2 linked regions of the Oryctolagus cuniculus genome follow. The protein of the gene in region 1 interacts with the protein of each later gene in a pairwise test. Links are inferred from orthologs where the notes say so. Each region holds a gene or a part of one and is shown on either strand. Other genes may lie near its edges. The genes, in order: APOA1 and APOC1.

Region 1 (3,651 bases):
ATTTATTTATTTGAAAGGCAGAGTTCCAGAGAGGACACACACACACAGAGAGAGAGAGAGAGACAGAGAGAGAGAGAGAGAGAGATGTTCCATCAGCTTGTTTACTCCCCAAATAGCTGCAATGATGGGAGCTGAGCCAGGCTGAAGCCAAGAACCAGGAGCTTCTTCCAGGTCTCCTACTTGGGTGCAAGGGTCCAAGGACTCGGGCCATTTCCCATTGCTTTCCCAGGCACGTTAGCAAGAAGCTGGATCAGAAGTGGAGCAACTGGGACTCCATCTGGAGACCACATTTGGTGCCTGAGTCATAGGCAGTGGCTTAATCCACGGCACCACAATGCTGGCCCCTCAAGCATTTTTATAAATACAAGCAGCTTGTTTGCTCCTGCCCAAATCCTTCAAGTCCCAGTGGCTTCTTAAGGGCCCGCCCCAGCTGGCTTAGAGACAGAGGGCCGGCAAAGGTGCCTGTCCCCTGCCCAGGTGGATGTCTCCACATGCCCAGCTTACATTCAACATCTCTGGGGACAGGGAATCCGATTCTCCCAGCAGAGCCCACCCTGTTCCCGGAGCCTCTTCAGGGAGGGCTGTTAGAGCCTCCTGCGGGGCACTTGGCCTTGGGCTGTCGCTCTGCCTGGCCCTCCCTCACTCCCAAGCAGCCAAGGGCAGGTCCCACAGCTGCCCTGCTCTGGGAGCCAAAGCCCAGGCTGCCCCTCCAGCGCCACCCCACTTCCATTCCCCCCAGAGAGAGAAGCTGCTCCCAAGTTGTAAAATACTTTATTCTAAGACGCCGAATGCTGGAAGGGGGAGCGGGGGCGGCAGTAGGCACCTCACTGGGTGTTCAGCTTCTTGGTGGCCTCGTCCAGGACGTTCTGCACGCTGGCCTTGAAGCTCTCCAGCACGGGCAGCAGGCCCTGGCGGAGGTCCTCCAGCGCAGGCCTGGCCTTCTCACTGAGCACGCTCAGGTGCTCCCTGGCCTTGGCCTGGTACTCGGCCAGGCTGGCGCCGCCGCCCTCCTTGATGGACTCGAGGCGCGCGGCCAGGCGCTGCTGCAGCTCGTTGCTGTAGGGCGCCAGCTTCGTGCGCAGTGTATCCACGTGGGTGCGCGCGCTGTCGCGCAGCTCCTCGGCCAGCGGGCTCAGCTTCTCCTGCAGCTCGGTCAGCTTCTGGCGCGCGCTCTCGCGCAGCTCCACGCCCAGGGGCTCCACTTTCTGGCGGTAGCGCTCCACCTCCTCCTGCCACTTCTTCTGGAATTCGTCCAGGAAGGGCTGCACTTTCTGCCTCACCTCCTGCAGATCCTTGTTCATCTCCTCCCTCAGCCCCTCTGTCTCCTTTTCCAGGTTATCCCAGAACTCCTGGGTCACAGGGCCGAGCTGTTCCTGCAGCTTGCTGACGGTGCTGCTCAGGCTGTCCCAGTTGTCCAGGAGCTTCAGGCTGGAGGCAGACACAAGGCGCTGAGGGGGGACCCTTCCAGGCACCTGGGACTGCCCCCAGGGGCCTCGCACCCCGCCTACCTGGGTGAGCCCACAAGCCCCACCCGTCCCCAGATGTGTAGGGAAGCCTTGCGCCTTGGCCCCTCCACACACTTCCTCACCCAGTACCTCCCTCCCACACCCTGTCCCATTGTACAGAAGGCTGGAGGCACGGCTGGGACCGGTGCCCAGTGTTGGTTGTCCCGAAAGCCTCCCCACACCCCATCCATTATCCTCCCTGAAGACAGCAGGGGACACGGACCCCTTGCAGGCTGCTGGTGGGCAGGCAGCACTGGTCTGCCCTGTGCTAGGATAGGGGGAGCCCGCTCCCATTTCTCCAGCCGGGCCTTCTGTGGGGCCCTGCCGTGAGGACTCAGCTGGTCCTGCAGGCCTCTGCCCCCAGCCGCTGCCCCAGTGCCGGGCTGCATGCTTACTTGAGTTGCTTTCCAAAGGCGGAGGCTTCAAACTGGGCCACATATTCTCTGCCGCTGTCCTTGACTGTGTCCACATACACGGTGGCGAAATCCTTTATTTTATCCCATGAGGACCGGGGTTCATCTCGCTGCCAGAAATGCCGAGCCTGGCTCCCTGGGCGTGAGAAGGCAGCCCCGGGTTAGGCCAGCTCTGAGCCAGAGTGCCAGGGGTTGGGATGTGGGAGGGGGGTCCTAGTGAGAAATTCTACTCCTTGGGTGAGCCCTGGGGTTTTGGGGCTCCCTACACCGGGTGGGGGCACCGACCTGTCAGGAAGAGCACAGCCAAGGTCAGCACCACAGCCTTCATCCTGCAGGAGCCGAGTGACCTGGAGGAGAAGAGGGCCTGGCTGAGAGGGGGAGCCTTCCAGCCCGGGAGAAGGCCTGGGGGGCGGCCCCAGAGCCTGCCAGGGAGCAGGACCTGAGCCTCAGCTGCCTGGAGTAGGCAGCAGCACTTACCTGCCCCGCCTCCTGGAGCTCTCCAGCAGTCTCCTGCGGCCAGCTGGCCCCTGGCCTATTTATGTCTCCAGGCAGGGGCTGGGCTGTGAGGCTGATAAGCCCAGCTGGGCCTAGTCACTGCTCCCTGGTCCTGGCCATGTGGAACTTAGAGTTCAAGGATCAGCTCCGTCCCTAGGGCCGGGCAAATAGAGTGGGCAAACAGGAAGCTGTGGGGGCTGCAGGGCAGGGGTCAAGGGTTCAGATGGGGGCGGGAGGGGAGTGGTTTCAGGCTTGCAGTCCCCAGGGTGGGGGGCATTGGCACCCCTCAGGGGAGTGTCAGTGCCTTCCATTGTGCCTGTGCCACAGGGGAGGGGCTCCCTTCCCCACTGCCCTGTCCCCACCTCCCACCACCACTGTTCCTCCTCTGGTCCCCACTGCTGCTGTCCAGGCCCCGCAGAGACCTCCCAAAGTGCTAACCAATGGGAAAGGTGGCGACTGGGGGACACTGTAGAGGAGTGGCTCCCAGACTGAGATCAGAGACTTCTAACGGGGAGCTGCCAACTTTCAATTTTGTCACACCCAGTAGCTTCTTCTCTCCCAAAAATAGAACTCTCACCATGGAAAGTGACCATCACTTTAAAACAGAAGAGACTTTCTAACATCCAAAGAGGAGTCGCATTATTGCAGGCACTTACACTGAAGACGCGTGCCTTTGTGTTGCTGGTGTTTCCCTGTGCTCACACTCAGGGGAGGGTCCCTGGACTAGGAGGTGGCAGGAGGGCGGTTTCTCATCTCCCTTTGCGTCATCTCAGGGGAGGGGGACCGGGAGCCAGCTAAGTCATAACCCTGGGCCTCAGTTTCCTATCTGCAAAACGGAGCGCCACAGTCAGAGACACTGGAGGCCCCAGAGGCAGCCTGCCAGTGGGAAACGCTGTGCGTACATTGGCACCTGCAGTGCCGCCTTGTAAGGTTTCTTGTGGAAGGCCCAGGCCCTCGCACACCGGGTCATGGACAGCACCCAAGTTACAGAGACTTTGAACTTCCACGCTGAGAAGAACCGAGAGACCAGCCAGCCTCTCCCCACCCTACCGTCTTCCTGACGAGGAACTGAAGAGTGGAAGGGATTTGCTCAACGTGTGTCATCGCTCAGAGATGCAGTCAGGGCTGGACCTGGAACCCAGATCTCTGGATTTAGGACCCAGGGCAGAGATCTGCCCTCCAGGAAACTCCCTAACTCTCTAGAAACCAGCCAGGCTCTCTGCTCTGCCAGACCTGGG
Region 2 (4,501 bases), on another chromosome or scaffold:
GTCCCTGGCCCAGCTCGGGGTTCAAGGAAGGCTTCCTGGAGGAGGGAACGCAGAAGGCTGCAGCCTAAAAGGTGAGAGTGCGTGGGTGTCTCTCAGGGCTCCAGCTCCCATGCTACCTTCTCCTGCATTTCTCCTCACTGTCCATCTAGAGTTTCATGAACACCTACTATGTGTAGTGGTGCACCAGGCCCAGTTCCGCACCTGGAGCAGCGCACAGCAGGCGAGTGCTGCCCGGGGAGCTGGGCCGAGTTCTCCACTCCCCGGCCCCTCTGGGCCTCAGTGCACTTGTGGGATGAACAGGGTCCCGCACACAAGGTTCACCCATCTGCAGCCCAGAGCAGGGGGACTGGGCTCAAGGCAGCAAGGACCCCCTCGGGCGCAGCCCCCACCATCCGCCACGGCCCCCGCCCCCCAGGAACCACCACCGCAGCGACATCTCTGTGGGACTTTTATTGGTGGGGGAGGGGGGGAGGGAGGTGCATGGAGAGGCCCTCGGTGCAGGTGCAGGCACGGGGAGGGGGGGCGGTGACGGCGGCTCTCGGCGGGCGCTCAGGAGAAGGTAGACTTGAATTTCTCCTTCACTTTGCTGATGGTCTCTGAGAACCAGTTCCTGCAGGGGGGGGAGTGCGGAGGGGGCGTCACTCCTCGGGACGTCCAAGCCCTGTCCCCCACCCGACTCCCCGACCTTCCCCTGTGGAGTCCGGAGGCCCCACTGAGCCCCAGCTTGCCGGCCAGCCCAGAGCAGCTCAAAGCCAGAGCTCTTCACCCGGCCCCCAGCCCTTCCTCCACGGCTACCCTTGCCCTGTTTGTCCCCTACTCATTCAAGGCCACTTTGCGGCTCCCTCCTCTGTCCCTGCGGTCCCTGGGTCTGTAGTGCACCCCTCTCTTTATCTACAAATCTTCCCGTCTCAGGACTTTGCACTGCCCGCTGGGCGGCGCCTTCTCCTAGCCAAAGGCCTGAATGCTTCTCCCTCATCTTTCAGGGCTCAGGTTCAAGAGCCACGTCCTCAGAGGAGACTGCACCAAGGGGCCGGCGCTGTGGTGCAGCAGGTAAAGCCACCACCTGGTGCTGGCATCCCATGTGGGCACTGGTTCAAGTCCCGGCTGCATCACTTCTTCTTCTCCTTCTTTTTAAAATATTTATTTACTTATTTGAAAGGCAGAGTTACAGAGAGGCAGAGAGAGAGAGAGAGGTAGGTCTTCTATCCGCTGGTTCACTCCCCAGATGGCCGCAACAGCTGGAGCTGCGCTGATCTGAAGCCAGGAGCCAGGAGCTTCCTCCAGGTCTCCCACGTGGGTGCAGGGGCCCAAGGACTTGGGCCATCTTCTACTGCTTTCCCAGGCCACAGCAGAGAGCTGGATCAGAGGTGGTGCCCACGTGGGATGCTGGCACTGCAGGCGCCAACCTTACCCACTATACCACAGCGCTGGCCCCTGCTCCACTTCTGATCCAGCTCCCTGCTGATGTGCCTGGGAAAGCAGTGGAGGATGGCCGTAGTACTTGAGCCCCTGCACCCAGGTGGGAGACCCGGATGAAGTTCCTGGCTCCTATCAGCCTGGCCCAGTCCTGACCACAGTGGTCATCTGAGGAGTGAACCAGCAGATGGAAGATCTCCTTCTCTCTGTAACTCCTTCAAGTGCATAAATCAATCTTTAAGAAGAGTCAGCCCTCTGAGGGCGGGATTTTTATCTTGTTCATCATTGCGGGGGTGGGGGGGCTGGCGCTTAGCGGATGCTCAATAAACACTGCCAGTGAGGGGACGATTCTCCAACTTCTCCACTGGAGCCGATGCGGGTTAAGTAAAGTGTTGAATATCGCCAGGCGCCAGGCAGGCCTCCCTCACTCCCCTGAGCCACCCATTTCACAGGACGGGATGCTGAGGCTCATGTGACACCCCCGTCTCAAGACCACACAGCCGGGAGAAGGCCTAGGCTGGGGACATCTGAGCGCGGGTCCTCGGCCACCACCTCGCTCCGTCTCTACGCGTGTGTGGGGGTGGGGTCAGGGCAGCTGTCCCTGGAGACCTGGAGCCCGCACATCCGGTTCTGGGACCACAGCGTTGCCGTCAGCCTTTCCGGGCTTGAATTTCTCCCATCTCCAGGGCTTCCTCCCCACCCCCTGCCCTGCCCCCCGCCCACCCCAGCCGCAGCCCCCGGGTCCTAACCGGGTCTTGGTGGTGATTTCGCTCTGCTTGATGTGTTCAATGGCCATCCGGGCCTTTTCTTCCAGGGTGTTCCCAAACTCCTTCAGCTTATCCGGGATGAGCTCCAAGGTGCTGAAGTCTGGGGCCGCCTGGGCTGGGGCAGGGCCTACGCAGATGGGCGAGAGGGTGCGGAGTGCAAAACCCCCAGTTACATCCCTGGGACGGGATTCCAAGGACGGATAAGGACATCCTGGAACGGGACTCTTGGGGGCCGCGGGGTCGGAAGGAGGGGTCCTCGGGCTGCTGGGAGCGGTGGTCTTCGTCTGCCCGAATCCCCAGCCCCCCACCGCCGCCCGGCTCAAGGGGGCGAAGCAGGACAGCCAATCAGATGTGGGAGACCCAATACGTCATCAGTCGCTAGGCTCCTCGGGGCAGATCTGCCGTCCGGGCTCCGGCAACCTGGAGACCCACCTAGCTGGGTGGGGGTGGGGTGGGGGTGGGGGTGGGGGTGGGGTGGGGGCGGGGGCGGTCCGAGGACGACCGGGAAACCCGGAGGGCGCAGGGGCCCCAGAGCGCTCTCGGGACCTGCAGGCCCGGACCCCCGGCAGTTGGCCAAGCCTCACGTTTCCAAATCTCAGCCTTTTACCTTCCAGAGCCATCGACAGAGCCAGCACCAGCACGGGGAGCGACAGAACGAGCCTCATGGCGGGGCCGGAGGGGCGCTCTGGAGGGCGGGGGCGGGGGTGGGAGCCATCAGTGCCCTTCCTTCCTTCCCCGCCGCCCCCCGGAGGTCCGGAGCCCTCGGGAGCGGGTGCGGGGCGGGGCGGAGGTCCCTCCCCGGGAACGCTGCACCAACCTGAACCACGGTCGCGGGGCTGCAGGGGCGGGAGGTCTCGGCCCGCCTGGGTCTTTATCAGGCTGGGGCGGGGGCGGGACGGGGCGGGTCAACCTCCCTCCCCCTAGCACCTGTGCCCACCTGCCCTCTCTGGTGGGGGTGGAGGGGCAGCTGGGGCCCTGGCACTCCTAATTAGGGCCAAAGGTCCGTGCTGTTCGTACCTCGCCAAGCCTCCCTGACTTCAGGGGGCCCCAGGCGGCCATAGCCCCTTTCCCCTGGCCCGGAGCCTTCGTCCCCTCCCTGTGGCTGTCACTGGGCAGGGCTGTCCCCCAGGCCCAGGGAATACCGCTGTGGGTCCCTAGGCCTGCTCCCCTCCGCCCTGGCTTCTCAGCAAACAGCGCTGCCCACGTCTCTGGGGTCTCTCTGTGGAGCCGGCACTGCTGCCCCCAGTGCCACCTGCTGCACCTGCGCGCTCTCTGTCAGCCCAGCCCTGGAGCCACCACACGGTCGCCCCTCTGTGATGCTCTCTGGGGGCTTCCCTTTGCACCCCGCCCCCATCTCCCTGTAGTTTTGGGAGGATTTCCAGCTCCTCTGAGCCGCAAAGCCTCAGCTGCAAACTCCCAGCGCGTGCCCCCCCATCCCTTCCTCCAGCCTCCCCCCCTCGCCCCGAACCCTCCCTCCGCTGGTATTCACCCTCTCAGGCCTGCTGGCACCGAGCCTGTCCCTCCATTCCCCCCCTTCCCTTGCCACATCCGTCCCCCAGGGCCCGACTCCAAAGCCTCCCCCTCCCCGTGGGCTGCCTTTGACCGGCAGTGATCCCTGGCAGCTGGGGGGGGGGGTGGCCTGGCCCCAGAGTCTAGGTTGGCTGGCCCTGTGCCCCCACCACCACGTGTCAGCCTTGGGGGCGGCGTGGCGATGGTGGTTGTGAAAGGGACGGCACAGACAAGGCCCTGGCAGGATTGCACCATCCCTGGGGCCAACTCAGAACTTCCAGTCCCTGTCAGGCTGCCCCCGCCTCCCCCCAGCTGAGCCCTGCACTCCCCAGATGTCCACCCAGATGCCTACCCCTCCCCCTGCTTGTCCAGTCTCCTATTGTGGGGAAACTGAGGCACGACCAATCCGTGTGCTTCTCCTTCCCAGACTCTGGGACCCCTGTTGGGGTCAGCCCTGGGGGTCCCACAGAGATGGGCGGTGCCTCCTCCTTGACGCTGGGGACAGTGAGATCTGGGGGGCGTGGCCTCTGCCCGGGCACACAGTGAGCCCACTGACTTTTCCCCTCCCCACTGAGCACCCCCACGTCTGCAGGATCTCAGGGGCGGGGCGGGGGGCCAGAGGGAGGAGCCGGGCCAGGGAAAGCCCTGGAGTTTCGGGTGTACGGGGGCTGCAGAGGCCAGGCCTGGCCCTGGAGACACCTGCTCAAGCCCTGGCCTGTCCCCTGCTCCCTCCTGAGAACTGAGGGGGTGGCGGGGGAGGAGGGTGCCGGCTGCTCCCAGCCTCTGCCCTGGCCTCTCTGAGCGCCGAC

The links.
Region 2: the proteins of APOA1 (region 1) and APOC1 interact in a two-hybrid assay, tested with the Homo sapiens proteins (2 studies listed by BioGRID, with this or other methods). The link is inferred for Oryctolagus cuniculus from reciprocal best matches to the Homo sapiens genes APOA1 and APOC1.

The regions. Positions count from the first base shown.
Region 1 is NC_091432.1:108,782,008-108,785,658, forward strand, and holds APOA1 (apolipoprotein A-I), read right to left. Parts: upstream 2,379-3,651; 5' UTR 2,247-2,378; coding exon 2,204-2,246; intron 2,055-2,203; coding exon 1,901-2,054; intron 1,429-1,900; coding exon 825-1,428; 3' UTR 755-824; downstream 1-754. UniProt on the Homo sapiens protein: Participates in the reverse transport of cholesterol from tissues to the liver for excretion by promoting cholesterol efflux from tissues and by acting as a cofactor for the lecithin cholesterol acyltransferase (LCAT).
Region 2 is NC_091449.1:11,758,639-11,763,139, forward strand, and holds APOC1 (apolipoprotein C-I precursor), read right to left. Parts: upstream 3,030-4,501; 5' UTR 3,001-3,029; intron 2,869-3,000; 5' UTR 2,849-2,868; coding exon 2,791-2,848; intron 2,311-2,790; coding exon 2,166-2,310; intron 611-2,165; coding exon 550-610; 3' UTR 436-549; downstream 1-435. UniProt on the Homo sapiens protein: Inhibitor of lipoprotein binding to the low density lipoprotein (LDL) receptor, LDL receptor-related protein, and very low density lipoprotein (VLDL) receptor.